Alligator mississippiensis: one gene and its partner. The protein of the gene in region 2 interacts with the protein of the main gene of each other region in a pairwise test. Links are inferred from orthologs where the notes say so. Each region holds a gene or a part of one and is shown on either strand. Other genes may lie near its edges.

Evidence for each region.
Region 1: the proteins of XRN1 (region 2) and ZFP36 interact in a two-hybrid assay, tested with the Homo sapiens proteins (2 studies listed by BioGRID). The link is inferred for Alligator mississippiensis from reciprocal best matches to the Homo sapiens genes XRN1 and ZFP36.

The regions. Positions count from the first base shown.
Region 1 is NC_081838.1:1,299,530-1,315,415, forward strand, and holds ZFP36 (mRNA decay activator protein ZFP36), read left to right. Parts: upstream 1-5,740; 5' UTR 5,741-5,968; intron 5,969-6,940; exon of another isoform or gene 6,941-7,061; 5' UTR 7,062-7,208; coding exon 7,209-7,244; intron 7,245-8,767; coding exon 8,768-9,628; 3' UTR 9,629-11,064; downstream 11,065-15,886. UniProt on the Homo sapiens protein: Zinc-finger RNA-binding protein that destabilizes several cytoplasmic AU-rich element (ARE)-containing mRNA transcripts by promoting their poly(A) tail removal or deadenylation, and hence provide a mechanism for attenuating protein synthesis.
Region 2 is NC_081830.1:56,410,001-56,425,240, forward strand, and holds the start of XRN1 (5'-3' exoribonuclease 1), read right to left. Parts: upstream 7,236-15,240; 5' UTR 7,141-7,235; coding exon 7,066-7,140; intron 1-7,065. Other genes in the region: serine/threonine-protein kinase ATR, read right to left, coding at 10,698-10,871, 14,371-14,476. UniProt on the Homo sapiens protein: Major 5'-3' exoribonuclease involved in mRNA decay. Required for the 5'-3'-processing of the G4 tetraplex-containing DNA and RNA substrates. The kinetic of hydrolysis is faster for G4 RNA tetraplex than for G4 DNA tetraplex and monomeric RNA tetraplex.

The DNA of each region.
Region 1 (15,886 bases), on a different chromosome or scaffold from region 2:
CCTGGATTCCTCCCTGGCCCCCCAGGCGAGGAGTACTGTTGTACAGCCCCTGTCTTAGGCGGCACCCTGACAATTTGGGGAGTAGGGGAGAGCCTGAACACCTGGGATCCATCCTGCCCCGCCGCAGTTTCCTGGTTCTCCCTTAGGCTAGGCCCTGCGGGCTGGGGGGGGTGCTTCTGTCCCCTGCTGGGGGGGTGGTCTTTATGCTGGCCGCCTGCAGCAAAGGGCTGGGCGGAGGGGACTGTAGTGCCAGCCAGGAGGAGGCGAGTTCAAATCCCACCTGGGCTGGGGCCAAGGGAACATCCAGTTCTCCGGGTGGTTGCATCACCGCAGAATTTCTGCCACTTCCTGCCCCGGCTGGGCCCGTTTCCACGCCAGGGAAACCACCCCGGGCAGGCGGGGACTGGGGAGGAGGGAGGCTTGACCCCCTGCCCAGCCAGGAACAGCCTGTTCCCAGCTGCTTTGTTCCCCCCCCAGCCCAAAGCTCTTGGAAAAAGGGGGTGTCTGCCAAGTGACGGCAGCAGGGAACAATGCTCCCCCCCCACACACACACACGCAAGAAGGGCCCGATTCTGGGTGGATCTGCATGCAGGGCGGGGTCCTTGTATGGGGGGAAGAGACCACGGTTTGGCCCTCATTGGGGTGTAAATCTGGAGGGCTCAAGCCACGCTCCAGGCCTGCAAGAGTGGGGAAACTGAGGCACGCGGGGAGAGGGGCCCAGCAGGGAAATGGGACCCAGGTGTCCGGGTGCTGATTCCCACCCCCAGCTGCGGATGGGACCCGGGCTCCTGCCCTCCCCCCCCCCCCCCCGTTCCCACAGTTGGAAACCGAACCCAGGCGTCCTGACTCAGCCCCTGCGCTCTAACCACTGGACTCGCTGACCTTCCTGGCGCCGCGTCAAGAGCCCAGGGCCTGACTCAGCCCCTGCCCTGGAACCGCTGGATCAGCCTTCTGGGAGCTGGGGAGGAAACCCAGTGAGTGTCCAGGGGGCTGTAGTGAGTACATGTGGGCAGTCGTAAGTGCCCGGGGGGCAGTTGTGAGCTCATGGGGGCAGTGGTGAGTGCACAGGGGCTGTGCTGAGTGCAAAAGGGGCAGTAGTAGGTGCATGAAGGGCAATAGTGAGCACCCAGGGGGGCAATAGTGAGTGCATGGGAGCAGTGGTGAGTGCTCAGCGGGTAGTAGTGAGTGCATGAGGCCTGTGCTGGGTGCACGGGGGGCTGTGCTGAGTGCACAAGGGGTAGTAGTGAGTGCGCAGGGGCAGTTGTGAGCACGTGGGGGGGAGGCAGTGACGGCTGTTTGCAAACAGGAGCCAGGCCACGGCGGCTCCCCGTGGGCCGCTGACCTCATTTCCTGCCTCTATTCTGGGCGGCGGGCGGGGGGCACGGCAGGGGACAGCCTGTTCCCTGCTGCAAGCCGGGGCTTTCTGGGGCTGCTGGAGGCCATTTCCCCCCCGTGCCCCCCCCACCCCGGGGGCAACAAGGGGCAAGGAAGGGGCTGATCCCCCCCAGGTGGAACAGGCAGCCCCCTCGCAGGAGATCCCAGCCCCCCCATGCGAAGGGCTGTAACTGTGATGGGGGTCGGGGATTGTGGGCGTTTGCACACGTGTGCGAGCGTGGGGTGCAGGCCCCTTGGAACGGGTCGGGGCCCGGGAGCCCGCGCGCCTGGGGGCCCTGTTCCTGCTCTGGGAGCAGAGTGTCCTCGAGTCCCCTCTGGGCACCAGCGGTCGGGCCTGACTCACCCCGCCACTTCCCCGCCGCTGCCTCGGTTTCCCCACCTGCCCCTGGCCCCGGTCCAGGTTTCCTGGCACAAACACGCCGGCATTGCCAGGGCAACGGCTCGTGTTGTCCTGGCACCGGGTGCGAGAGCGCAAAGGCCTGTGTCAGCATTGCCGGGGCTGGCGCTGCGCCTGTGCCCACGTCACCGGGCCCGGGACTTGCCCAGCGAGCGGGCTGGAGGGGAACCCGGGCCCCCGGGAGCCCTCCCATCCCCACCCACCAGGGCAGGGACCCCCAACCCCCTCCCGTTAGCACCGTCAAGGCGGAGACCCGGGTGCCCGGACCCCCCATCCCCACCCACCGGGGCAGGGACCCCCAACCCCCTCCCGTTAGCACCGTCAAGGCGGAGACCCGGGTGCCCGGACCCCCCATCCCCACCCACCAGGGCAGGGACCCCCAACCCCCTCCCGTTAGCACCGTCAAGGCGGAGACCCGGGTGCCCAGACCCCCCATCCCCACCCACCGGGGCAGGGACCCCCAACCCCCTCCCGTTAGCACCGTCAAGGCGGAGACCCGGGTGCCCGGACCCCCCATCCCCACCCACCAGGGCAGGGACCCCCAACCCCCTCCCGTTAGCACCGTCAAGGCGGAGACCCGGGTGCCCGGACCCCCCATCCCCACCCACCAGGGCAGGGACCCCCAACCCCCTCCCGTTAGCACCGTCAAGGCGGAGACCCGGGCGCCTGGACCCCCCATCCCCACCCCACTACAACGGGGAACCCGGGCGCTCGGGCCCCTCAGTCCCCTCCGGGCTGGCCCCTTCCTCCCCCAGTGTTTACAAGCAAGCGCCACCACGTGAACCACACGCGTGTGCGCACGTCATGGCTGGCGCAGCAGGGGGCAGGGCCAGCACACCCCTGCTCCCTGTGACCCCATTAACTCTCCCTGTGCCCCCCCGTCCCCTAGCGGGCTTCACATGCCACTTCCCGTGCGAGAGCGCTCGCACGCCCGGCTGGCGTCACAGGGGTTTTCACGCCCATGGAACGGGGCTTTCAACAGCCTGGAAAAGCAGAACCAAGCGGGCAAGGCGCCGAAGGGCTAGGGGCAGGGTGGGCACCGGGAACTCACTGGTGCCCCCTCAGGCAGCGCCACTGGCAGGGCCCCGTGCCCACCTCAGTCACAAGCGTGTGCAAGCCCCCAGGCTGTGTGCGTAGGCCTGAAGCAGGTGCTCCCTGCCCCCCATGTGCTGAGCAAGTGTGTCCTGCGTGTGCGCACGCAGCAGGTGCCCGCCACATGCTAAGCATGTGTGTGCTGCACGATGTGTGTGCACACAGCGGGGGGCCTCCTGTTGTGCTAAGTGTGTGTCCTGAGTGACACACGTGCACACAGTGGTGCTCCCTGCCATGTGCTAAACACACTTGTCCTGCATGACACTTGGGCACCCACACTTCTCCCCCAATGTGCTATGCACGTGTCCTGCATGACACGTGTGCATACTGGTTGCATGATTCAAATGTGTATGAATCAACATGCATGTGCACACGGCCTGTGCTACAGCGTGTGCATGCACTCCCTCGCCTGTGTGCAGGCCCCCAGGCATGTGCACGCCCCATCATTTTGCCCCATGCCCATGCACACGTGCTCACACAGGCGCTCACCTCTGTGCACATGCTCTTCTGTACACACGCCTGTCACATGTATCACATGCAACTGCCCCCTCTCCACATGCATGCACAAGGCAAACCTGGGACACATTGATGTCCACATTTGTGCGTGCACATGCACGCACACACATGTGATGCGCCTCCCTAGCACAGGCATGCATGTGTGCTCACTAGAGACACACGGAAGATACGCTCACAACACTCACACACACGTGCACAATGGAGGCAGGCGGAGGCTTGTGTGAGGGGCCCTGCTCTTTGCCTGTGGATCTGTGAAAAGCCTCGCACGAAAGGCCCTGTCTACCTCTGGGTCTGTGCAACTCCTCTCACAAGGGGCTTCAATCCCTGCCCTTGGAATCAGTGCAAGCCCTCGCACGAGGGCCCTCAATCCCTGCCCTTGGAGTGAGTGCAGGTCCTCGCACAAAGGGCCCCAACCTCTGCCCTGGATCTGTGCAAAGCCTCGTACGAGGCCTCCCGGTGCTGGCCCCCGAGGCCAGGGGCTGTGGCGGGGAGCGGGGGCGCGGGCCGGCTGCCTCTCGATGCACCAGCGCTGGGGACATTCCCGCTGCCCAGGCTGGGAGCAGGGGAATTCCCAGCTCCGGCTCCGGAGCTGCCTGGAGCAGGAAGCCGGAGCCGCGCCTGGTTCCTGGAAGAGGAAGGGCCCCCCACCTCTCCCGGGGGCTTCCCAGAATTCACTGCTGTGCCAGGACTTGAGAGGCCTGACAGCGTGTGTGCAGCTCCTGGCACCTGAGCAAAGGGCTGGGCTGTGGTTGTGCAGTTCCTGCCACTCATGTAAGGCACTGGGTTTGTGTGGGTGCAGGTCCTGGCACATGTGCAGGGGACTGGATTGTGCATGTGCAGCTCCTGCCATGCGTGCAAGAGGCTGTGCTCTGCGTGTGCAGCTCCTGGCACTTGTGCAGAGGGCTTGGTTGTGCACGTGCAGCTCCTGGCACTCGTGTGAGGGGCTGTGTGCGTGCAGCTCCTGGCACTCTCCTCCACTCACTAGTGCCCCTCGTGTGAAGGGCCCTGCTCTGTGCCCCAGGCCCCAACTCACTGGTGCAGCTATTGTGTGAGATGCACACCCCCTTGGGCTGCATGGCAGGAGCCCAGTCGTGCGAGTGCTGGGCCCTGGGCAGCGTGTGCTCACGAGCATTGTCCCACGGATCCGGCCGAGGGGAGAGGAGACCAGCGGCCTCTGCCCTTTGCCTCCGTCTCCAAACACTCGTGGCCCCGTTGTACAACGTGGCCCTGCGCTGGGTTCGGGGTCCGGAGGTCACAGTGCCTTTCCCAGCACTAGTGCAAAGGGCAGAGCCATGCGTGCGGCTCTGGACACTCATGCAAGAGGCAGAGCTGCGGGGTCGTGCATGTGCACGAGCCTTTCCGGTGACTAGCGCAAGGGGCAGAGCTGCACGCCCACGAGCGTGTACAGCGCCAGACACCCCTGCACAGGGCAGCGTGTGGCTCCTGGTGCTCGTGCCAGAAGCAGAGCTGTCTGCCCACGTGGCTCCAGATCCTCGTGCGAGGGGCAGAGCAGCGGGGCTGCGGCTGTGCACGCCCGTCCAGCCACTAGTGCAAGGGGCAGAGCCGCACACCTAGAAGCGCGCGCAGCTCCCAACACTTGTGCAACAGGCCCTGCCTCAGTTTCCCCCGGGAGCCAGGGCAGCCGGGCTCTCGGTACCGTAGTGCACCTAAGCCCCGCGCCGCCCAGCTCCTGGCTCCGCCCCATGAGCTCATTGTTTGCCAGCTCACCTGGCCCCGGCGCGGCTTAACCCCTTCCTGCCCGGGCCCGGCCTCGTCCCCGTCCCCGGGCCGGGCCGGGCAGCGCGGGCGAGTGGTTAGAGCAGGGGAGCCGGACTCCCTGCTGGGAAATGCCCCGTCGGCGGGGGGGGAGGGGACTGGGGGGGGATGAGTCACGGGGGCGGGGCTCATTGTGTAACCCGGGACCGGCGGGGGGGCGGGGCCTTCCCTGATTGCGTCACCGCATTCCCAGCACAGGCGGCGGCTCGGGGTCGGGGTCGGGGTCAGGGTCGCGGGGGGAGCCCAGGTGTCCGGCAGTCCCAAGCCTTTCCCTGCCCGACTTGCCCCCCCGCCCCCCCGACCTCACTGGTTTGGGGGGGGCACCCGGCTATTTATAGCCACTGGCGCTGACTCAGCCCCCCCGTCTCCCCACGCCCCCGTCCTAGATCCCGATCCCGATCCCGGCTCTTGTGAAACGTCGTGATTCACCCGGGCAAAGGGGGGCAGGCCGGTGCCCCCTCCCCCCGGTCACAGCTGGATGCGGGTGCACAGCTGGCGGCAGATGCGGGGGCTGGGCCCGGGCCAGGGGCTTCCCGGGGCGGGCGGGCGGGGCCGGGCTCGGGCTCGTGCTCGTGCCCGCGCCCGTGATTCACTTCCAGGAACCGGGACCTGACTCAGAGGCGAAGAGAAACTGGGAGCACCGGGAGAGGCTGTCCCAGGGAGCTCGGGTGCCCTGTGCCCTCGTGCGAGACACGCTCGCGCTCGCACGGGGGCTGTGTGCGGGCACAAGCAGCAGTGCGGGGCGGGGGGCAGGCAGCTGTTCCCCCTGCGCCCCCCCGCACCAAACCCCAGGTACCCCGAGTGACCCCCTCGTGCAACGCACGAGGAAGCAGCGCCTTGCACGGCCGTGCGAGGGACAAGCGGGCCCCCCCACCCCTGGCTTGATGATGGCACAGTTGTGAGCTCCCCCCGCGCAGGGGGGGGAGACCCCGGGGACTACAGACCCCCCTGTCCCGCCTCCCCGCGCGGAGCCCAGGAGTCGTGGGGAGCCTCCGGCCTGCTTCGTCCAGCCCCGAGCGCGGCACGGGGCACCGCTGAGGCTGGGAGCTCCTGGGAGTGGGGGCAGGAGCCTCGCACGTGGGGCAGGAGGCAGCTTGCACGGGGCCTGGTTGGGGGTCTTGCACGGGGTTTGGAGGGGCCTTGCACGAGAGCAGGCAGGGCCCTGGCCTGGTGGTTTGTGCAAGCCAGGGGAGCCCCGGGGCCCCGGTAGTTCCGGGAACGGGCACTGAGTCACCCCCCTAGCCACACGTACGGGCTCCGGCGGCCTCGCACGGGGTGGGGGGGCACGAGGCAGGGAGATGCAGGCTGAGGCCTGGTGCAAACTCATCGCACCCCCGCCCGGCCGGTACCTGAGGGGGAGGGGCAGGGCTGCACGTATTGCCAGGGGTGTGTGTGTGTGTGTGTGTGTGTGTGTGTGTGTGTGTGTTGTGCCCAGCCAAGGGACCATGGGGTGGGCAGGGGACACAGCCCCTCATCAAGGACCTTGCACAAGTGTGTGCGACCCTAGAGGGGTGTGGGAACTTGCCCCCACCCCAGTCCAGCCCTTGTCTGGGGCTGTTGCTGCCCCACCCCAATCCTGATCCAGGCCCCCCTTTCTCTCTTACCCCCCCGTTGCCCCCTCCCCAGGGCTCCCCAGACCCTGGGCCCAATCCTGATCCAGACCCCCCCTTCCCCCCGTGCTGCCCCATCCCCCGGGGCTCCTGTGGCCCTGATCCTGGCCCCCCTTTCTCTCCACCCCCTTCCCCCTCAGCCCAGACCCTGGGCCCAATCCTGATCCAGGCCCCCCCTTTCTCCCTCCCCCCCACGCCCAGCCCTTCCCTTCCCTTCCCTTCCCTTCCCTTCCCCAGGTTTTACCCTATTCTCTGGTGGCTTGCTTTTTTTTCAGGGCCTCTTACAACAGCGATGAGGTCATCGCTGAGGGGGCGGGGCTTCAGCCTATATAGCCCCAGCCCCAAGTGCTGACCCCAGCTTCTGCCTGCTCCTCTCTGGGGGTCCCACTGACAGCGCAGCCCCCAGCCCCCACGGCCACGCCATGAGCTCCCTCCTGGATGTCAAGGCCCTGTGCGAGGTGAGGGGCTGGGGCCGGGGCCCGGCCGGGCTGGGTGGGGCCGATCCTTGTCTTTGCCCCTCCGGGGGATCCCCAAAAGGGGTAAATCTTTGCTGTTACCCCCAGATTGGGCATTTCTTTGCTATTCCCACCCCCCCAGCTCTGCTGCATGGAGGCGACGGGGCTGGCGGGGGGTAGAGCAGATCTAGGGACGGGGCAGAGGGGTAGGCTTGTTTGTGGGGGGGGCAGGTTGTTGTAATTGCCCCTCTATGGTTTTTGGGGGAGGATATTTCTCTGTCTGGAGGGGCTGAGAGTGGTGCGGGCAGGGCTGAGCCCCAGGTCCGGACCCCTCCTTTCCCCCCCAAGGCCTTTACTCCCCCCCCCCCCCCACAGGCTGCCTGGACTCTGCCCCAGCCTGGGTCGGGCAAGGGGATCTTCCTGCCCCAGGCAGGGGGTGATTGGGGTCGGGGAAGGGGGCTCTTCCTGTCCCGAGCTGGAAAGGAAAGTTGGTGTAGGCTGGTGGGGGTGGCATGTATGTGTTTGTGTACTTGTGTGTGTCCCAGATGCCTGGGTTCTGTGTGTGTGTGTGTGTACTTGTGTGTGTGTCCTGGATGCTTGGGATGTGTGTGCATGAGAGAGAGATCTGAACACTTGGGTTCTGTGTGTCTGTGCATTGCCCCTGGATGCTGGGGCGCGTGTGTGTGTGCGCGCGCGTGTGTCCTGGATGTCTGTGGCGGCAGAAAGCAGGTAGAGACGAACCTTTAAAACGAAGTAAATCAGAGATACAGAAGCTGCGTGTGCGCGTGCGCGTGTCTTTGGTGTCGTGTTTGTGCTGGTCTCTGCGTCGTGGGTGTTTCCATGTCATGTATGCACCCCTGTCTCTGGCGTGTGTCTTTCTTGTGTTTGCGTCCATCTCTATGTTGTGCGTCTCTGGCGTGTCAGGTGTGTCTTGTGTGCCTTCCGTGTCACATCTGTGTCTAGTGTGTCTTTTGTGTTACATTTGTGTGTGCGTGTCTCTGGGGTGTGTCTCTTGTGTCCCCCTTCTGTCCCCATCTCTGATGTGTGTGTTTCTGGTGTGTCAGGCACGCACCTGTGCCTGTGTGTGTGTGTCCGTGTCAGTCAGGTGTCTGTGTGTTGTGCTGTGGCTGTGCGTGTTTGTGGTGCTGTTGCTGCCCCCCCACCCCCCCACACACGCTTCCTGCTCTGGGCTATCGCAGCTGATTTTCCCCCCCGCCCCCAGCCTAAGAGGGGCCAAGACTCGGCCGAGGCCTCGTCATGGCTCTTCCCTCCTCCCCGGGGCCCGGCCGGAAGCCGGGCCCAGCTCCAGCCTCCGCTCGGCGGCTTGGAAATAACCCGCCCGGACGCCTGGGTCCTTGCCCCCGGCCCTGGGGTTGGTGGGGGGGGCCGATGCCGCAGTCCCTGCAGGGTTTGGGGTAGTGGGGGCAGTGCTAGAAGCTGCATAGGTGAGGGGGGCACCAGGCCCTGCTGGGGGGCTGGGGCCAAGCCGACTCCTCGCTGACCCCTTCCCTCCCTTCGCCCCCCAGAGCCTGCACAGCGCCTGCCTGTCGGACGACGACGAGGCCCCGCGACGCCGCCCGTCCTCCTGCTCCGGCCCGGCGGAGCCGGCCTGGCCCCCGCGCAGCCCCTGGAGCCCCGTGCCCGCCCGGGGGGGCCCCGGTGCCAGCTTCCGAGCTGACCGCTCCATCAGCCTGCCCCCGCCGCCGCCCGGCTTCGCCCCGCTGCGGCCCCCGGCCTCCCCGCCGCCGCCGGCCCCGTCGTCGCGCTACAAGACGGAGCTGTGCCGCACCTTCCGCGAGACCGGGCGCTGCAAGTACGGGGCCAAGTGCCAGTTCGCCCACGGGCCGGGGGAGCTGCGGGCCCTGGCGCGGCACCCCAAGTACAAGACCGAGCTGTGCCACAAGTTCTACCGCCTGGGCCAGTGCCCCTACGGCGCCCGCTGCAACTTCATCCACCACCTGGACGAGGAGCGGAGCTGGTCCGGCAGCTCCCCCCCAGCGCTGCCCCCGCTGCGCCAGAGCCTGAGCTACTCCGGGACCCCGCAGCGCCGCCCCTCGCCCCCGCCCGGCCTGCCCGACCCGGCCGGCTTCGCCCGCGCGCCCTCGCCCGTGTGCCGCGGGGCCACGCTGGGGGAGACCCCGCTGGGCAGCGGGGGCTGCCTCTGCTCCTGCCTGGGCCACGCGGCGCCGTTCTCCTGGGACTCGCTGGTGTCGAACCCGCCGCCCGAGCTGCTGGCGCTGCTGCCCCGGGCGCCCTCGTCCACCTCGCTCTCGGACCGCGACGGCGACAGCAGCGGCTCCGAGTCGCCCGTCTTCGAGCCGCCTGCCACGTGCGGGGCCGGCGCCCGGCGCCTGCCCATCTTCAACCGCCTCTCGGTGTCCGAGTGAGCCCCCGCCCCCCCCAGCTGTGGATCCAGATGTTGCACGGGGCATGGGGGGCAAAACCTAGTGCCCCCCAGCTCCCCATGTGCCCGGGGACCAGATCCCCCCTATCCCCATCCTCATGAGCTCACCAGTGCCTTGGCGGAAGGAGGCGGGGCAGGGGCCACGGCCACTCCTTATTGGGTGCTCTTACTTTTGGGGGGCTGGCTTCCCCCCGGACACACCCACTCCTATGGAAGTGCCTTGTTGATGCCACCTTTTGGCCTTGGAGAGGGGGACTTCCCCCACACCCCGCCCAGTGCGTGGGGGTCCCGATCCTGCCAGGGGCTGGATTGTAGCTGGTATGTAGCATTTTTGGGGAGACCCCATTGGAGAGGGGGGTCTCCCGTGTTTTCCCCCCTGCCCCTTTTGTGCCACCCCTTGCCCATCACCTGCTGTGAATCTCCCAGGCAGGGCCTGGCGGAGCCTGGGTCGGTACCGTATCTTCTCACCTACAACGCGCACCTTCCTCCCCCCCCCCCCCCCAAAATCAGCTTCCAGCATTGGGGGACACTGGGGGTTCCCCCTGCCCCCCCCCCACCATGGCAGCAGGGACTGAATGGAGGTGTGTGTTATACATGAAGGGCGCGTCGTAGGCCAGGAAATACGGCTGCATTGAACGTGCTTGAAGGATGAGACCTGGAGCCCTTGGTGGGGGTCTTGGCCCTGGGATCAGCCCTTGTGTCCCGAGATAATGTCGTTCTGGGCAAAACCCAGGGGTCCAGTCCGGTTATCCCGCCCCCCCCACCCCTCCCCAGGGTACCTGGTATCCTCCAGGAGGGGCCTGGAAAGGACCAGGCCTGGCGGGGTTTGTGCACCTCTGAGCCCGGTCACAGCCGCCACCCTCCCTGCCGTCGCAGCAGGGGTTTGTGTATGTGGGGGGGTATCTCAATAGCCGCCCCCGCGCCCCCTTCCCTGAAACACTGGAGCCCGTCGGAGGGGGAAATCGCGAGCCCAGCGCGTAATCATGAGGTCTCTGAATCAAGATCCCTCGGGGATTTTTCAAGGCCCTGCCTCTTTGGGGGTCTCCCCCCAGAAAAGGGGGGCTTTGAAATGTGCCTTAACCCCACAGATCTGAACTCGGACCCCCTCCCCGTCCCCGACTCACTTGGGGCAAGCTCAGCCGCCCCCGTACCGAAACCTGCCCCCTCCCACGCGTCCGTTTTTTAAATCCAAGCCTCTCACCGGGCAGGAGGAACAAGAACCCCCCCCCTCCCCGACCTATTTATAGCCCCTTATTTATTTCAGACAGAATTTTATATGCTATTTATCTCTCGGGGGCTTCATTTGTTGTTTTGTAATTTACCAAAATAATATATATATATGACTCGACAGTCTATTTTCTGTGTTAAAAGTGCTAGGAGCTGTCGCGCGAGAAATATAATGTTTACAACCCACAAGAACCTGGTGTCTGCGGGATTTATTATGCGGGGGGGGGACGTCTCTCGACGTGTCTGTCTGTCCCTACACACGTGTCTCTACCTCTGTCTCTCTCTTGCTGCCTGGTGTCTGTCTGTATCTCGCTCTCTCTCTCACATAGGTGTATCTGTCTGTCTGTCTCTCTATCTGTATATATCTATATGTATGTGTACGTGTGTGTATATACATATACGTGTGTATGTATGCATATATAATTTGGGCTCAGCCGGGGCCCAGGGGCCGAGCCGAGCTGGGCGGGGCTGGGGGTGGTCTGGGGGGTCGAGGAGCAGACGCCGTGCTCGCTAGGGCCCCTGTGCATTGGAGGATCCCTGGGGAGGAGGGGTGGATGGGGGCGAATCGGGTGTCTCAAGCCCAGAGGAGGTGTGTAGGCCCCCTGGGAAGAGCTGCAGGTGGAGGCCTGAGGCGCGGGGCGTTCCACTGCTCCGTGGGCCGCGCCCCAGCCTCAGCCGCACCAAGGCCCCAACCACGTCATGCTGACGCCACTGGGGTGCGGCGGGCACAGACGGCCCCACGCCCTGCCTGGGAACCGGCCTGGCTGGTCCTGAAACCGGGTGGGGGGGGTGTCTAGGTTCTGGCCGTGAACACACACATGCACACCTGGAACCCAGGTATGCGGGACACGGGCACGCACACAACCCGGGTGTCCAGGACACACACACACGTGTGCATGGAGCCCAGGGCTGGGGAGGCCCAGCCTTGCGCGTTGTCCGGGGGCGTGTGCGGGGGCCTGGGCCCGAGCCCCCTGAACGAACGCAGCCCCTGCATCCTCCTGCCTGCCCTCCCCAGGCCTCCTGGCCCCCCCTCGCGCATGTGGCGCCCACCCCCCGGTTCTACCCGCTGCCCCGAACCCGGGCGTCCGGCGCGGCGCATGTTCATCTCCTGCCCAAACTTTCCGGGGCTGGAAAAAGTGATGTCATCCTCGTGCGAGGCCCCGAGCAGGGACATCCGGTGCCCCCCAGCCTCCCCCCCACAGAAACCCCAGGTGTCTGGAACATGCAGCCCCCCCCCCCCCTCCGCCCCCACAGGCCTCGAGCTTCCCCTTTCAATGGAAAGGAGAAGAGGCCCCTTCGTTTCCCAGGGTCTGGGTGTGTGTGTGCACGCTCATCCTGAACACAGGGCTTGTGTGTGTGTGTGTGTATACATGACCTGGATACTTGGGGGGGGGGGGGCCATGTGTGTCCCCTCGTATCCCCAAAGATGGGTCCTGAGGTCACATACATGTTCGCGTGGGGGGAGGCTGGGACCTGCCCCGCCCGGGTGTGCGAAGGCAGCTGTGGGCGCTTGTGAGCTCATGCCTGTGCCTGTGGGGGCGACAGGGCCTGTAAGCTGCCAGCCCCCCCACCCCACCCCGTCCCCTTCCTCTTCTTTCTTCCTCTTCCTCCCCCGGCCCGGCCCGGCCGCCAGCCTTAAAAGGCAGCGAGCTGGACCCGTGCGCTGACGTGAGCACGAGGGGGCGGGTCTTGCCCAAGGGGGTCTTGCACAAGGATGGGGCCTCCTACGAGGGGCTCGCGCGGATGGGGCCCATCTGTCTGCTCACTTCCCCTGCCCCCCCCCCCCCGCACCGGGCTGGCAATCAGGACACCTGCGTTCCTCAAGCACCTTGTGCCTCAGTTTACCCTTGGGGAGGGCAGGGAGCGGTCTCCCTAGCAACCCCAGTCTGGGCTCCTCTGGCCAATTCAGGGCCCCAGGGCCAAGGGTCAGAGGTTAATTCCTCTTCTGTCTGGGCTGGGGGACGTTCGCCAGCTAGGGGATGCGCCCAGCTCTGGGGTGGAGCAGGGGGTCTGAGTATAACAGGGCTCTGTGCTGCGATGTGCCCAGCTCTGGGGTGGAGCAGGGCAGCTGAGTACAACACGGCCTGGCGTTCGCAGCCCCGAGCCGCCTTGGCCCCGTGCGGCGCTGCACCCAGCTCTGGGGTGGAGCCGGTAGCGTCACGGCACAGAGAAGTAGGACAGGAAGTGGGGGCGGCTTCTGGGTCCCAGGCCCAGTGACACCGCCCGTGCGAGGCCTCGCACGAGTCGCACGATGAGTCACGAGGGAAGCGCCGGGGTCACGGAGGACAGCGGCAGCCCTGGGGGGAGGGGGGGATGGAAGCCAGCGTGGGGAAGGAGTGAGCACAGGGCTGGAGTGGGGAAACTGAGGCACGGCATAGCTCCCGCTCTAACCACTGGGCCGCCCTGCCCCTCCCCAGAGCTGGGGGCAGGAGCCCAGGAGGCTGGCCCCCCCTCTGCCGCTTTTAACCCCTTCCAGCCCAGAGGTGCTGAGATGGGGATGGGACACCATTGCCCGGTGCTGGGTCTCCAGCCTTAAAACCTCAGCTCAGAGCACCCCCAATGTCACCGCCATTAGCCCCTTCCTCCCCTGCCCCCTTCTCGGCCTGGGAGGGGGGCGTACAGCACCGGGCACCCCCAATCCCACTCCCCTCCCTGCTAGGGTACAGCAGGGCTTGCAACCCCCTGAGCAGGCCAAAGCCTCGTTAGCGCTAATCGCTTCCCAGGCCCAAAGCGCCCAGGCTCCCTTGGGGCCGACTGAGTCAGTGCTAACCACTGCCCCAGGCTGTCGTGGCCCCGTGAGAAACCCACAGGCCTCGGGGGGGGGGGGGGGGGGGCAGGGGCGGTGTTGTTATTTGCTGCTGCCTGCTCCTCCACCCAGCCCAGACTCAGTCGCATTTCCAGACCCAACTTCCTGGGACGGGGAAATGGGTCCAGGGGAGGGCAAGAAAGACCTCAGAAACCCCCTGATGGCCACCCTGCTCCCCCCACTGTGGGGGTGGGGGGGCTGCATCCCTGATGGCTGGGTGGCCTAGCGGTTATCTTAGGGCTGGGGGAAACCTGGCGGTGAGCTGAGCTGGGTGCACCCCACCCCACCCCACCCCTCTGGGGCCTGGGCCTGCCTCAGTTTCCCCCAGCCCAAGGGAAGGAGGCGGCGGTGGGGACGAGTGGCCAGGACTTCTGGGCTCTTCAGCTCCCAGCTCCACCAGGCGGGGGTGGGGGCGGGGGTGGGGGGCAGCCTTCTGTATGTGTCCCCTGTTTGGAGAAGGGGATCATGCTATGTTGGGGGCTGGACAGGGCCTGGTGCCCACCCCCATCCTGGCCTGGGGGGTCTGTGCAGCCCCAAGCACCCCAATTCTGGCCTGGGGGGGGGTTGTACAGCCCCGAGCACCCCCGATCCTGGCCTGAGGGGGAGGGTTGTACAGCCCCAAGCACTCCCAATCCTGGCCTGGGGGGGGAGTTGTACAGCCCCGAGCACCCCCGATCCTGGCCGGGCGGGGGGGGGGGGGGGGGGTTTGTACAGCCCCAAGCACTCCTAATCCTGGCCTGGGGAGGGTTATACAGCCCCGAGCACCCCGATTCTGGCCTGGGGGGGTTTGTACAGCCCCGAGCACCCCGATTCTGGCCTGGGGGGGGTTGTACAGCCCCGAGCACCCCCGATCCTGGCCGGGGGGGGGGTTGTACAGCCCCGAGCACCCCCGATCCTGGCCTGAGGGGGGGGGGGGGGTTGTACAGCCCCAAGCACTCCCGATCCTGGCCTGGGGGGGGTTGTACAGCCCCAAGCACCCCCGATCCCAGCCTAGGGGGGGTTGTACAGCCCCAAGCAGCCCCGATCCTGGCCTGGGGGGGGGCCGTACAGCTCCAAGCACCCCCGATCCTGGCCTGGGGGGGGTCCGTACAGCTCCAGGCACCCCCGATTCTGGCCTGGGGGGGTTTGTACAGCCCCGAGCACCCCGATTCTGGCCTGGGGGGGGTTGTACAGCCCCGAGCACCCCCGATCCTGGCCAGGGGGGGGGTTGTACAGCCCCGAGCACCCCCGATCCTGGCCTGAGGGGGGGGGGGGGGTTGTACAGCCCCAAGCACTCCCGATCCTGGCCTGGGGGGGGTTGTACAGCCCCAAGCACCCCCGATCCCAGCCTAGGGGGGGTTGTACAGCCCCAAGCAGCCCCGATCCTGGCCTGGGGGGGGGGCCGTACAGCTCCAAGCACCCCCGATCCTGGCCTGGGGGGGGTCCGTACAGCTCCAGGCACCCCCGATCCTGGCCTGGGGGAGGTGTTGTACAGCCCCAAGCACCCCCGATCCTGGCCTGGGGGGCGTTGTACAGCCCCAAGCACCCCCGATCCTGGCCTGGGGGGGGTTGTACAGCCCCGAGCACCCCCGATCCTGGCCTGGGGGGGGTTGTACAGCCCCACGCACCCCCGATCCTGGCCTGGGGGAGGGGTTGTACAGCCCCAAGCACCCCCGATCCTGGCCTGGGGGGCGTTGTACAGCCCCGAGCACCCCCGATCCTGGCCTGGGGGGCGTTGTACAGCCCCAAGCACCCCCGATCCTGGCCTGGGGGGGGTTGTACAGCCCCGAGCACCCCCGATCCTGGCCTGGGGGGGGTTGTACAGCCCCACGCACCCCCGATCCTGGCCTGGGGGAGGGGTTGTACAGCCCCAAGCACCCCCGATCCTGGCCTGGGGGGCGTTGTACAGCCCCGAGCACCCCCGATCCTGGCCTGGGGGGCGTTGTACAGCCCCAAGCACCCCCGATCCTGGCCTGGGGGGGGTTGTACAGCCCCGAGCACCCCCGATCCTGGCCTGGGGGGGGTTGTACAGCCCCACGCACCCCCGATCCTGGCCTGGGGGAGGGGTTGTACAGCCCCAAGCACCCCCGATCCTGGCCTGGGGGGCGTTGTACAGCCCCGAGCACCCCCGATCCTGGCCTGGGGGGCGTTGTACAGCCCCAAGCACCCCCGATCCTGGCCTGGGGGGGGTTGTACAGCCCCACGCACCCCCGATCCTGGCCTGGGGGA
Region 2 (15,240 bases):
GGATTTAATAAATCTAGTATTTTGTTGTATATGTTGTTGTTCGGTATAATAAAATACTGCTGATGCACATGGCACCCTGTAACTATTTTTGCATTCCTCTTGTAATAGTATTTAGCCTTTTCAATAAAGTATGCCATCTCATGGCATGTGAATAAATAGCATGCCCAAACCATCTCTCATTCACACATACACCAAGTTTTCAATATCAAGAGGATGGTGTGTTGCTATAAGGACTCAACAGCAATCTACTTTCCCCATTCAGATGGAAGGCAAGCAAATGACATTTTTTTTTTTTTTTCACATGAAGAGTCATGTTATAGTACTGTTTCAAATTATGCACATTTTACCTAAAAGACCCCCTTTCTCCTCTATTTTTTCCTGTGACAAGAAACAGAACCAAGAACAATTTGTAACCCACAAGCAATCTGTAACTCCCAAAAATGTTTCTTGTTTAGTATTTGATTATTTTGACAAGCATTTTACATTATTTTAATATTTTTATTCTAATAGAATTCTTACATATGAATTGTGAAAAATAGTTACTATACACAGGACTAATGAACTTTCCAAGTTCAAGAATTATTTAATGAAAAAATTCAAGATTTTTTAAAATAAAAAATAATGTTTTTTAACCTAGTATCAACAGTTCCTCACTTTCACACAGAAAAGGTTAGTTAATGCCTTTTAACAGCACACTTTCAAGGTCCTGTTGAAGCTAGAATCTAAAAAGTATGCTTTGGCATGTTTTACTTAGTACACTCTAACACTGTTCTAGAAGTCTAGCACAGAGACAAGAAAGTATGCATTTTCAACACTATTAGGTCCAATGTAAGTTCTAGATCAGTGATTCCCAACCACTGTGCCATGAGATCCTTTTAAAGGTATCATAAGGTGCCGTGCAATACTAGATATGCACACACCTATACACAATTTACAAAATAAACCTAGACATTTCAAACAGGAGTCTATAGTGTCGAAACCATTTTGACATGTTGTGGTCTTTTTGAGTTCTTTGCAACAAGAGAACTCTGCTGTTATTTTCTGTAGACGAGAAACATGTGAAAACTATCAGGTGGCATTTTCTAAGGGGAATCTCAAGTCAAAAAAAGTTGAGACCACTGATCTAGATCTCAACTGACACTTTCTCTAACAACATGCATTTCACCTTCCTGTTTCAAAGTGCTTACGGTATAGTCCAGCACACAAAAAAGACTAATTATAGACAAGCTGTAGTTCTGCTACAGTCAAGGTTGAGCAGTGTTTTCTGTTTAAAAGCAAGTATTCTAAATAACATGAGAATCTACTATGCACAGGGTTAAAGGTACAGAAGGTACAGCATTAAAGGCACAAATCTGGAGTCATTTGAGCAAAAGATTAAGATAGAGTCTACCTAAACTAACAGCACTTTGGTTCTTATCCCATTCCATGCAAATCCATGGCTAAAAATGTCTCCCATCATCACTGAACTACGGCTTGCATTTACTTTAACTGAAGCCAGTTGCCCCCTGCTTCAGAGAAGCAGCACTGAAATTAGTCTAGCCCTAAATGTCAGTTTGTGCTAACTACAGAGCTAAATAGACTGAACACAAGCAAAAGTAACTTTATATTAATGGACAGAGTTTTCTGACAGTCTGATACACAGTGATCAGTGAATCGGTGCACTGATGAATTCCACACTATTGGCAGCCTCTGCATATGTTCGAAGTTTTGCCCCACTATCAAAACTCTTACAACAAACAATATTTTGAAGTGCTCTAAAATCCACATGCAAATAGAGGGAAGATGAAAGGACAGCAAAATCATATCTCCTGGCATGATCAACAGAAAAACAAGGTACTGAGTCATGTGTTCAAGGGAGTTCCAATACACAGCCTTATGACATAAGCTGTTTCATAACCTTTTGTTTGGTGCAGAGTGAAGGAATGGAGGATAATGGCAAACTGAAGGGTTACTTAAGGCATATTCAAGCAGTGCAGGGGGGCATGTGTAGGTTGGATCTGGAGGTACAGTGAAGGAAAGGGGAACACAGGAAGGGAAAAAAGATAAGGGGAAAGTGGGGACAGGTAGGTGGAGAACAGTGTGAGAACTAAGGATTTCTCCTCCTCCTGTGTGACAATCAGGATCACAGCAAGCTGCCTCATCTCTCTGCTTCTCTTCCCCCTTACATGAGTGGGGATAATTGCCACCTCTGGTGGAAATAGGAACACAAACTGAGGAAAGGAGCAGTTTACACAGCTCAGAGTTATTGCTGCAATTGTACTAAATCTCAATACAGGCATGTGAACAGTTGAAACAAAGTAGAGTTGGGAAGCTCCAACTTAAAAAACTGCAAATTGTTTTTACAACTGTGTCATGTTTGGTCCTACTCTGACAGAGGCAAAAGAACCACTGCAAATCTGACATGGTTTCAAATGTCACAATTTAGACTTTGTATCCAGCTAGCTCATCTGCCCAACTGCCTTCCTGCGCTTCACTTCATTCTCTCATAACAGGCGACACCAACTCCATTTCTGGTCCCAGGTATGCGAGACCCTGCAGAAGCAGCCTCAGCAGCGAGAACTGCTCTTGCTCCCTAAGGTACAGACCAGGGGTCAGGAAAGGGCAGACAGTGGAAGAGAGTGGCACAGCAGGGTTAGGTCCTGCTATCACTGCCCTTAAGTGGCACCAGTTAGATCGATGATTCTCACCTTCTTTAAGCCCAAGGTCCCCCCCCCCCCCCCCCACCATATCTTTTAAAAGTTTAGAACGGTCTCGGTGATTTTCAACTAGGGTGCTGCAAAATTCAGAAAAGTTATGGAAGGGTAACTTGAAGCCAAAAAAGGTTGAGAACTACTGGTATAAAGATTATTTTTTAGCATTATATCTCAGCACAGGTACAATTTCCTCTGGCAGGGGAACAAAATATGTTTTATAACGAACGAACACACGCACACGCATGCACCCCCCCCCACACACACCCTCCCTCCTTTTTGGGTATAAGAGTAAAGTGTGCCACCAATTTTAATCCAGAAAAAAAGTGTGCCCCAGGTATCAAAAGTTTGGGAACACTGGCCTGTGGATGCTTTCTGAGACAATTCCTTCCCACTCAATACCCTGGAGGCCACTGCCATGAGCCTGCTGAAAATGTCTGTCACAAAAAGACACCTTTGTCCACTTCTGTGGAAATAATCCACAAAATCACTACTGAAATGAGGTATCCTTGATCCTTCATATTATATGTGTACCTCCTGTTATAGTACTGCAACAGCTTTGCTAAATTGCTCCAACTAACCTCTTCATCACTCCTTATAGCTACACCTAATACAATGAAGGCACTGAAAGTACATGGATATAAACAGTGGGATTCAAAACTCTGGCCCATGATCTAAAAGAATATACCATTATTTTTAAGACTACTTATTGTGACATTCCCCATTCCTGAACAATTCCCAGTGACCCTTACCAGTTCCAGGATGCAGAATGAAGGTTATATTGTACTTTCTGGTTTTTATGGATATAAATTTAGCCACTTTCCAGATACAGGAAGGGCAATAGGCATAACTGTGCTAGGTGAAGGCTTTGGGCATTCAATAAAAACCTTTGCTGCTCCTTGCTAAATCAAGTTTTGCTCATGTAGAACTTCCTTTGCCATTTAGAAAATAACGGCCACATTTTATGCTATGTCAGGACAGTTCTTAAAATAGAATTTTTTTTAAAAGTTATCTACTTGTATTTCTACTTGTGGAAAAAAACATCTAACATTAATAAAAATATTTTAAGATATCCTTTCAAGTAAAGGACTCAGACTAAGCTGAGTAATCATTTTGAGAAGCATATTTCTTTCTTTCTGCACTGGCTTGCTAAATAAAGTATGTGAGAAACTATTTTGAGAATTACATATTCAATAGGGAGGAGCTTAATTACTAAAATTTATTGAACCATAGCAAATAGCCTTGTGTATAAACTTGCACTGTTTTAGTTAATTCAGTAGAAACTGAATTAGTAGTCCAGTAGTCCTCTCTAAGTTCTAATTTCAATTTCATTTAAATTTGTAACAAATCAATAACTTAAGCCAAACTAAAATAAGACCAGGTCTACACTTAAAAGTTCTCTCAACACAGGTAGGTCATTTAGGGCTTTTTTTTTTTTTTTTTTTACACAAAACAATGTCCTCAGAAGCTCAAGTGTATATGGAGTTTTACTGACAAAAGTGCTTTTGTTGGCATAGTTTTGTTTTGTTTGCTGAATTCAAATAAGCTATACTTGGAAAAAAAAACAACCAAAATTTTTTTTAGCCTGCATAGCTGTGTCCTACACTAGGAGAGTCTTGTTGCAACCTATCCCCCTCGCTCTCCTTTTTAAAGTATGGTACTATTTAAAAAAAGAAAAGCAACAACAAACTATGTTATGCTCCCGTTTCTTCCTCTCAATTCCAGTTATTCTGAAAAGTATGCTTTTTCTGTCCTACTGATTTGGATAGGGGCCAGCAACCTTTTATAAGCTCCAGGTCAGAACAACCTGGCTCTGACCCAGCGCAAGCTCAGTGACTTCAGTGGCAAGTCAGCAGCAGAGAACTGGGAGAAGCACTGGTGGCAAAGGCACAACTCTCAACTGCCTGGCTGCCACTTTTACCTGGCTACTACTTCTGCCCATCCTCCTAGCTACCTGGCTCCAGCACGGGTGCAGGAAAATCCCCCTGTGCTAATGCAGCACTGAAATCACTCACCTGTGTCATAACAGAGCTAGACGGGCAAGGAAAAGCAGCAGCAGTGCAGGCACTGCTGGAAGCTGCCTGGCCCCAGTGCAACTTCTTGCTACCCACCCCTGATATGGGAACAGGCAAAAACCTCCAGCTCCACAGTACACATTCAGTGGCTCTGCTGTCTGGCTCTGGCCTGCAGGCTGTATGTTGCTGATCTCTGGATCAGGGGAGAAAATTTATGGTTTCATTTTTCCTTTATTCTGCATTATTTTCTCAGCTACTAAAACAAATTGACTCATGTGCAAGGGACGAGGGGATGACATGAGGTTGCAAAACCCACACTTCTCCGTTACAATGACATTCACCTTGACCGTAATACTTTGTGGAGCCCGGTTCCCATTAGATTCTGAGATTGAAGTCTAACAGACATTTACTGAATTAGAAAATATATTTCTTATATATGCTGATGCTATTCTGTTTGGCCAAAGATAATTTTTTGCTGAATAAAAATACACAGTCAGAAGTATGTTAAAGGGTTAAAAGTAAATTTTACTGCACAGAAGAAAAAATGAAAGGACTTAAATACAAAAGTATTAAATGTTTGCATAAACTCAAAGAAAACAATTATAAAATGTGTGTGCTGCATCTGTAACCAAAACTATGCAACATCTATTTGGCACTTAAGAAGAAAGTGAAAGCATTTGCAGAAAGTGAAACACAAACAAAAACTAAACTTGTTAGCTTTCCAGCTGAGCTGTGAGCCAAATAAGTAAATGGGTTCCAAAACAATTCTGACAGTTTCAGATGCTGGACACAGTACAGACATTCCCTCCATCCACCAGGGGTAGACCATATTTACTCAAATCCAAGGGAGGTTTTTCCTCCCCCCAGAAAACCTTGTCTTGGGTGGCTACTCCAGCTCTGGCTCCAGGGGGAAGAAGAGCAGGCAGTGAGGGAGGCAAGTGGCTGGGGGAAGAGGGGCAGGTGGCAGCAGGATACATGACAAGAGAAAGTAGTGGGGGGCTACTGGCAGGGAGACAGGCACCTGAACAGGGATGGGCAAAATGCAGCCTGGGGACCGGATGCAGCTCACCAAGCCATTCTATCTGGCCCGCGGGGCCCCTAAAAAATTCAGAAAATTAATATTTATCTGCTCATGGCTGCTTATCATGTGGCCCTCGATGGCTTGCCAAAACTCAGTAAGCGGTCCTCACCCAAAATAACTGCCCGTCCCTGCACCAGAAGGTACAAGCGGTGGGGTGGTAAGCAAGGCAAGGTGCGAGTCAGGCCACCTGTCCCCTAACACAGTGGGGGGAAGGGGGAGAGGGACAACAACCCAAATTTAAGCCGATCCTCCAATAAATAATTAGATGCTATCCACAGAAAACGATAACAAGTTTATGACTTCCCATGTATAAAATCTAATTATTGGGAGGTCATTTTAAATTCAAAGTCATGTTGAATTCAGATGAAAACAGTAATTTCCAACCTTTTCAACTGTGTAATGATTTAAAAGAAGTATATTAATTTTCAACTGTATAATGATTTAAAAGAAGTATAATACCTGTCAAACCATAGGCTTTCAGGTTGCCCTTATCTAATCACCTGACTGGGGGTGGAGTCTGGTCAGTCCCCAGTATGTCTGAAACTCTCAGTCAGGTCTGTCTGTTTACACCCAAGCAACCTGGCCACAGTGTCTCAAAGGGCTCTTTCAAATTTACCTGGTGCAAACCTCCCCCCCATCCATCCTCCCCCTTACAAGTTACTGCGCCTTGTTTAAAAACAGAGAAGCAAGGAGCACATTTCTGGTAATATCTTTTCTTGGACCAACCACATAGTTGGGAGAGATGGCAGAGCAGAGCAACAGCTTGCCGGGGACCAGGTCTTTCCACAAGGTGCGGGCAACCCTGGCACGGGAACTAAACTGGGAGAGATGCTAGATGAGCTCTGAGCAGCAGCGCCCTTCCCCCGGCCTGGGAAGGAAGCAGCTCCAGACTCGGGCGAATTGCAGATAAAACAAGGGCTGGTGCCCAACCCGGGCCAGGTGCGAGGAGGCAGTCCCTGCTTGAGGGGGAGGAGGGCGGACAGCCAGGAGCCGAGAAGCAGTTGGCAGCTGCCCGGGGCAGGGAGCAGTCACCTGGGTCCACCCCGTGCAGCCTTCCCCCGTCTCCGCCTGCCCCCGCCAGGGACCCCCCGAGTCCCTTCAGAGACCAGCAACGAAACCTCGCGGCTCTGCCGGGCCGGGCTGGGCTCCTCGGGCCCCGCACGCACTTCTGCTGCTTGCCCGGGCTCCGGCTCCAGCCTCCCCGCCCGCTCCCCCTGGCGCCGCCGGGCTCGGAGCCACCTGTTGTGCCCGGGCAGGAGGCGGCCCGCGCCACGCTCACCTGATGCTCCTTGAGCACCTGGCTGAGGCACGGGTACCGCTCCGAGATCCACCGGTAGAACTTGGGCACCCCCATGGCCGCCGCCGCGGGCTTCCGTCCGTCAGGCCGCCCTCGGCCCCTTCCGGCGCGCCGCGCTGACAGCCGGGCCGGGCCGGGCCGCGCCGGGCGCAGGGGCCCTGCGCCACACACACGCGCGCGGGCGGAGCGGCCGCCTGGCGGGGCTCGGGCGCCCCCTGTGGCCTGGGGGGCGCAGGCCCGGCTCGAGCCGGACGCTGCGGAGGTGCCCGGTCCCCGTCCAGACAAGGGGAGGCCGAGGACGGGGACAGACGGGGGGAGCCCTGCGCTGCATTGCAGCGGTGACGCTGGAGCTGTGGCGGGCCAGAGGCCGTGCGAGGCCCGAGCCCCGCCGTGACACCCGCTCCAGCCGTAGCGTTGGCGCACGGAAGGCGCCGGGCTGAGGAAGGCGGCCTCCGCCCCCCACCACCCGAGCGCGAGCGCGGCGGTGTAGTGCAGAAAGACCGGAGGCGGGAGGGGCTTCGAGCATAGAAAGAGGCCAGAGAAAGGAGAGGAGAGATGGCAGCATGGGTATTTCGAGGAAGCAGCCAGGAAGAGTGTGCGCACTTCTAAGTGCAAGTCCAAATCTTAAATTTGCAACTTTTTTGGCCGCCCCAAGAACCTCGATAACGTTTTCAGTTCAGTGGAGTTAGGTACAGGTCCGTCTAACGCATAGGCGACATGGGGGAGGGGGACGGGGACGCGGGCCCGTGCGCCCCCCGCCCCTCCCCGAGATGGCCACTGCCACCTTCTGCAGGTGGTCACTGCTCACCCACCCCACTGCCCACAAACTGCGCCCCCCCCCCCCCCCCCCGAGTCTCAGGAGGCAGCAGTTGTTCATAGTCTAACAGGTCTTATGTGCCCTACTGGACAACGACACATCCATGGTATCCGTAGAACACCTAGCATTCAATTTAAAAACATATTAAATACTAGTCAATTGCCCATCAAGAATGGCAGGCGGGGGCTGCAGGTGAGGACAGAGGCCTGCCTCCAGCTCCATCCCGCACTTTCGGGGCCAGACCTGCTCCCCCTTTCCCCCACGCCCACGAAGGGCCGAGCCTGGTGCCCACCACCCTCCCTGCCACCTTTGTGGAGCCGGGTCCAACCCTCTCCCCACCCTCCTGCCACTTGCACCCCCCCCCCATACCCTCCATTTCAGGGCCAGGCTGGGCCCAGCCTGTCCCTCCACCCTCCCTGCTGCTGTTGTGGGGCTGGCACTGGGCCTGCTCGCCCACCTTCCCTGCCACTTTCAGGGCCGAGCCAGGCCTGGTGTGCCCCCCAACCTCCTGCTGCCATTTCAGGGCCAGACCCGCTCCTCCCAGCCCCCTGCATCAGCCTGGGTCTGCTGTCCCCCCCCCCCCCCCACCACCACTGTGGCAAACCTGCTTCTCCCTGGCCTCTAGACTTGCTCCTCCCCACCCATGTCAGGATGGAGCAGCGTAGGATAGAGAGGGAGGCCAGCAGCCAGCTTCCATATTCACTGCCAGCAGGGAGTAGAGCGGTGGGGGCTGGCCTCACTCCCCTTGCAGCATCCCGAGCCTGTTCCCCCCAACACCACCACCTCCAAGGAGCAAGCAGGGAGGGAGGGAGGGAGGGGGGAGCAGACCTGCCATTCCACCTGCACTGCTGTCACCAACTCCAGGGAGCAGGGCATGGGGGGGGGGGTGAGGTCCCGTGTCCCCCCATCATGGCAGTGCTCTGCCACCACCTGTCTGAACGCTGTATTTGCACTGATTGGTTGTTTCCGTCAGCCAATCAGAGTGCGAATAAAGTGTTATGGACAGACAGATAGACTACAACTTTTATAATATTAGAATTTCTGGAATCATATTTGGGAAAGCTGAAGGATTCACAAGACATACTTACAGATTTCATAGACATTAGGACTGGAAGGGACCTCACAAGATCATTGGGTCCAGCCCCCTGCCCAAAGGACAGGCAGATCCCAGCAAGATAGGCATCCAAGTGTTTCTTAAAGGAATCCAGAGTAGGTGCTTACACCACCTCTGGGAGGAGTCTCTTCCAGGCCCTGGGGACTCAGACAGTAAAGAAGTTGTTCCTTATGTCCAGACTAAAAGTCTTCCAAGAGTTTGTGACTGTTGGACCTAGTCTTCCCATGGGGTGCACACCCCTTATAGGCTGCCACCAAGTCACCCCTGAGCCTACATTTTTCCAGACTGAAGAGTTCCATGTCTCTCAGCCTCTCCTCATAAGGCCTGCTCTCTTGTCCTCTATTCATTTGCATGGCTCTCCTCTGGACTCTCTCAAGCTTCTCCTTACTCTACTTCAGCATCCATTTTAAGGTCTTCTCAATTTAAAGAGGCCTCTAGTCTAGTTTGTCAGGATAATAATGACAAAAGTTGTGCACTATATATCATAGGCGACACGTAGGGGGGGCATGGGAGGGCACATGCCTCCCTGACAGCACTGGTGCCCCGCCTGACAGCGAGCGCTCCGGCTGGTAGGGGGGCACAGAGAGTGTTAGTGCCCCCCTGAAATTGGCTCTGCTGGCAGCACTTCCGCCACTGCCATGCTGCTGGCGTGCTCAGCAACTGTCTGCTGGGGGACACCCCCACACCAGTTGTGCCCTGCTGGTGCCCCCCCAGACTCGTGAGGCACCAGTTGCCCGTGTTATATATATAGCATGGGCTTAAATTTCAACGAAGAAGATATCAGTTAGTGTATTAGGAAGAAGCACCGGCACAGGTTAACTAGAGGCTGTGAGAAACTTCTTGTGATGGAAATTCAAGTGCAGGTTAGACAAGGTTTGCATTAGATTATTTTGAGGATTTCTCCAGACCTATTTTTGTATGCTGTGTTAATATTCTGGCAGATTCTCTGCACTGAGGTAGGGATATGTATTTATCCCTCTACATCCAGATTACCCCACCAACAGACAGATCAAACAGGTGATCTGATGCAGTCACTTAACATGCTTTACTGACCACAGGAAAGCTTTGTTAAAACCCGAAAATGAATATTTTGAAAACATTTTTTTAGATTTGGAAAGCCCCTCTTATAGACACAACTGCAGTTCACAGGTCTACTACTACACTCATACTGTAATGCAGTTCATTTTATACTAGGATGTATGGGCATTCGTATGGTCACACTTATCTCCTTGAAATAGGGAAAAGAAAATTCTCTGAAAATGTGTAATATTTTATAAAATATAATTTACTTCAATAACATAATAGGTTGTATCTTTGCACATTCTGAGTATATATAAAAGGCACATACATCACAAGGACAACTGTACTTTCTATTTAATAGTGAAAGAGTGTTGTACTCTGTATACATAAAACAAAATGTATGTCCCTATGTAATACAAATTTGTATACATGTTCAAACGTATACCATGCAACAGATGCATTTCTATGTATACAGAATACACACCTCACATACTACAACAAACATATATATATAATTCCTTAGACTTCACATTAAGTTTTAGCATAAACCTATGTTCCAAGTCAGTATTCAACAAAGGTAAAAAAATAGCGTGATTAAATCAATTCAACAGTTTGTTTAAAAAAAAAAAAAAAAAATCAGTATCAGTTGTGAACAGCAATATTTCACATGTATGGAGCCCAGCCCATGTACATCTGGCAGAGCAGATTCTCATCACTTGCTTCTTGTATGAGGTAGTGGACGTGTCCTTCAATAGACAAGGGCAATCCTTTTATCCTGTTTCGAGTCTTAATCACACCTTGCAGCCGCTGTTCTATATCAAGGACATGGGTCTTAGCCTGGAAACAAGGAAAAAGAAAAATTAAAATTGTAAATATAATTTTTTTCACATTTTTAAATGAAACAATTCTTGTTTTCCTGAGTCTGCATTTACTCCAAATCCCAAATATGAAAAAAAGAGAGTGAATCATTCTCAAGGACTGGAACTTACCATTCATTTTATGGCTAGAAATTTAGAAAATACTGAATAAGCTATTATGCAAGCCATTGACACAGGTAGTAATTAAATATGTTTTAGCTAAGAAAGTCCTTTCATCATCATAAAACGTGTACGACTCATATACTTAGTGTGTTTACACCTCAGCTGAAGGTGTGACTTCAGTACATGCAGGCACACCTGCATTAGCTTCAATTTGGTTAGTATAGGTCACAACAGCAATCAAAATGCAGGGGGCTTCCGTGCGGGCTGTACAATCTGCTAGGATCTGTCGGGACCCTGGGCAGTTGGCCAGCAGCTCTCCCTGACTCCCACCTGGGCAGATAAGGGTCCGGGGCCTTAGAAGGCCGTCAGGCGGGTACTTGTGACGCTTGGAGTGGAATTAATTAGGCGGACGCTTATCGGTTGTAAAGCAAGATTATTTACTCACACCGTTAAGGTGGTGAATAGCGGAAGTCAGAGATATTTGGTTAGTTATAGCTTAAGGTTCGTAGGTCATAGGTCGGTCTGCATAAGAGTTTGTCAGTCGGGCAGATAAATGGAGAAAAAAAGTCGGGCCGGCAGGTCGTTGATTTACGTCTGATTAGGTCGAAACGGGGGAGACTGACAAGTGATTAATGTGTCAGTTATTCTCATATATACGTTCAGAGGTTTTTCAGGTGTGTGTGCGGAGGTCTCCCATTCTTCACGGAAGTGAAGACGGGTTTTATTTGTGTAATAGCCAATTGCTTTTTGCCACGTCATAAATTTAATTAGAATCGCCAATTATCTAGCGGTCTTCGCTAGGGTGTTATCAGAGGGACACTCCCCTGTCATTCCGACCAATTATAATGATTTATGTACAGCACAGAAGGCTAAGTTCTATTTTATGTTGGTGTCGCAGGTATAAATTTTTTTTTGACATGCGCAGCAAAAAAAGCAGTTACTATCATTATTGTTAACCCTTAGTTAACCTAGCGCAGAAATAAACTGTTTTGAATGGTTTTATTTGTTTGTGACATGGGCACTACTTAATTGGGTTGTGACAGGATCCATGCATATGCTGCCTGCTAACCAATTTTACTATCTTGGAGTGGCATATAGTTAGGCATGTACCTGTCCCAACAAAATCAAATGACAGCTAGTTGTTCTGGGCACAGATCTCCCATAGAACAGAAAGCCTGACACTGCTGCAAACAGGTCTATGCTAAGGCCTCACCTAGAGGATGCAGTCTTTGGTCTTCCCCTCAGCATTCAAACCAGAAGTGCATGTTAAGGGTGCCTGCCTGACTGTTCTGAACATAGTTCTATCACAGGAGGCTTACCACAGAAAACAAATTGTGGTATCCCAGAGCATAACTGCTTTCTGAAACAGGAGAGAAGACCTTACTTTACTCTAAGCACCATTACTCTGGTGCACCTCTGCACTTTCTTTGGAGACCAAAGGTCTTGGCCATGAAATTCTTCATTGTAAGCACCATCTGTTTATATAAAATTCCATTTAGTCAGATCTCTCACTTGGATGACCTCAGATTTGGAAAACTAATACTTTTTACCATTTCCATGAGGAGCAAGGTGCCTTAAGGCAGTTCAAATAAGAATGCAGATTTAAAAGCATTCTTGACGGAGCTGACCTTTAAAGAGAAAATACTGCTCAACTTTAACTACAGCAAAGCCAGTGCTCTACTGTAATGTACTTTTAACATAGTTTTCCCTGCATTATTTCCTAGCTTTAAAAAAATGAAACTGGAAAAACACCTGGAAGTTCCATTATATAGCAACATATAGAAATACATTTGGTTCATCAACAGAGTTGGAAACTTTAGATTGCATACACAGACCTCTGCCACTTGACCTAATGGAGCAGCTGAGAGCAACAGTAGCCTGTCATCTTCTGTATGCTCCTATCTTTTACCACTAACTTTTGCTATTCCCAGAACTGCAATTGCAAGCGAAGATGGGCTCAGCCTAGTTTCAGAGTAGAAAATATTGGATTTGAACAGAGAGCTCAACCAGATAACACTTGCAGTCTCTTCAAACCCTACAGTTTTATAATTCAGCCTTGGGCTGAAGCATACCCAATGTGTACAGAATCCTTTAGGAAGTTAAAGTATCAACATTTAAGACATTGCTATTGAGAAGTTTTGAATTTTGATTTTTTGTCATGGGCTTATAACTTAGTGAAATATGGGCAAATTTTCAGACAACAAAAGGCATATCCCTGAAACAAAAGCTATCCACCTACCAAATTCCAAGTTGTGCTTTCAAAACCAAAATTGTAGAAAATGTTTCTAACATAGGCAAAACAAAATATTTTCCCTTAGACTTGCTCTTAGAAATGGATGAACCACTTTGGATGAAGTTTTCCAAGAACAGCCAGAGGAGAGACCTGGCACAGAAAAATTCAGCCTGAATAATGCTCTGTTTTATTCACATACCACACATCAGGCTCCTTCTGTCACCACCATTTTTCCTCCCCCTGCTGCTCAGTGAACAGCTTACTATCAATTTGGCAGTGGCTGCAAAAGGGTTAAAGCTGTAGCTGTTGGCCCTGCAGCAGAGGGAGGAATGGCACTGATGGCAGAACTCCACCCTTGCTCCACATGGTTGGAAGGGTCAGCCCCAGGTGTACTCTGGGTACTCTGTACCTCTGAGTTGGTGCAGAATAGTCTCTGCCAAGACTAGTTTATACTAGGTAAATGATGATAACAATATTCCTTTATCAGTTAAGAGTCACTGATGATAGAAGCAATGAAAAAACTTGATAGATATAGATCAGGGACAGGCAATTATTTTGGGCAGAGGGATGCTTACTGTGTTTTGGCAAGCCATCAAGGGCCGCGTGACAGGCAGCCCAGGGCAGATAAATATTATTTTTCTAAATTTTTTAGGGGCCCCACGGGCCGGATAGAATGGTCTGGCAGGCCACATCCAGCCCCCAGGACACATTTTGCCCAACCCTGGTATAGATAGTGATAAACTTACCATCACTATGCCATTTAGAAGGTTGGGCAGCATGTTGGAGAAAGGCATGAACCCTATATAAACGAAAGCTTTCTAATGTTGTTGACACTGGTGAAGAACTAGAGGGTCATAATTTTTTTCAGTAAATATAGAACCTTAGAAAATGATACTAAAAAGGTACAGTATGTGTTAACAACATTTTCTATAGTTTCACTATACTTAAAGATAGAATATCAGAAAATAAATCATTTGTTAAAAAGGCTAAAATAGGTTTAAAAGAAAAACATGAAAGTAAAGCTTTCCTTGAATATGAACACAATTTCTGAAACCTATAGATACTGTGTGCTTGAAATAATTAACAGTAGTTCAATAAGTAAACCAAACTTCTTGCAACTCACCTTTTCATTGACAACTTCCCCAGTTTCATTCACCTGTGTTTTTGTATTACCTTTCACTGGTTTACTCCATTCCACAAGAGGATCATGGAGAAAAGTCTTCAAGACGCTAAATACAAACAAAAGAAAGCTCAATGTTTAAATGTTTAAACAAACACCTTTACGAAGTGAAATAAATTTTCTGGTGATTATCAACTTCAGTTTGTCAAACACAAGACTTTCTCTCTCTGCTAAAATAAAATACTGCTGCTTGAATTTCAAATTAATTTGTAATTCTATTTTTCTAGAGCAAAGCAAAATCTTAAAAATAAAAGGCCAGCTATGTTAAATGTCTCTACTTCCTTTGTAGTCATCTTCACAACAACAGTACTAATAATTTCACAAAGATTAACCTTGTCCATTACCTGATCAGTCATAGGCAAAGCACACCCTTTAACCAGAATTTTAAATGGGCTCCTATATCACCTGACAGCAGGTTTTGCAATAGGAAACACTGCATCAGTAAAATTTTCAAGAGGCTCTAAAATAATGTTTTTAGTTAGGAAAATACGCATTAATGCATTACACTGTCCAGAAAAAAAATGAGCACATCTTTTCATGCATCTTTGGTAAGGAATTTATACTTGCTCTGAAGTTAGTGCTAGAATGAGTCAGTATAAGCAGTTTTACCATTAGCAGTCTACAGAAACATGACCTAAATTGGTAGAACCTACGGAAATATAAGGACACTAAAGAAAAAGAAAGCTGAACCTGAATCTTCTCCAGACTCCTAATTTGTATTACAGTAAATCTATCATGGACAAAAAAGTGGCAGGTTGAACATGCAGCAGCAGAACACAAAAACAACAACAAAAAGGAATTCTACCCTAAGCC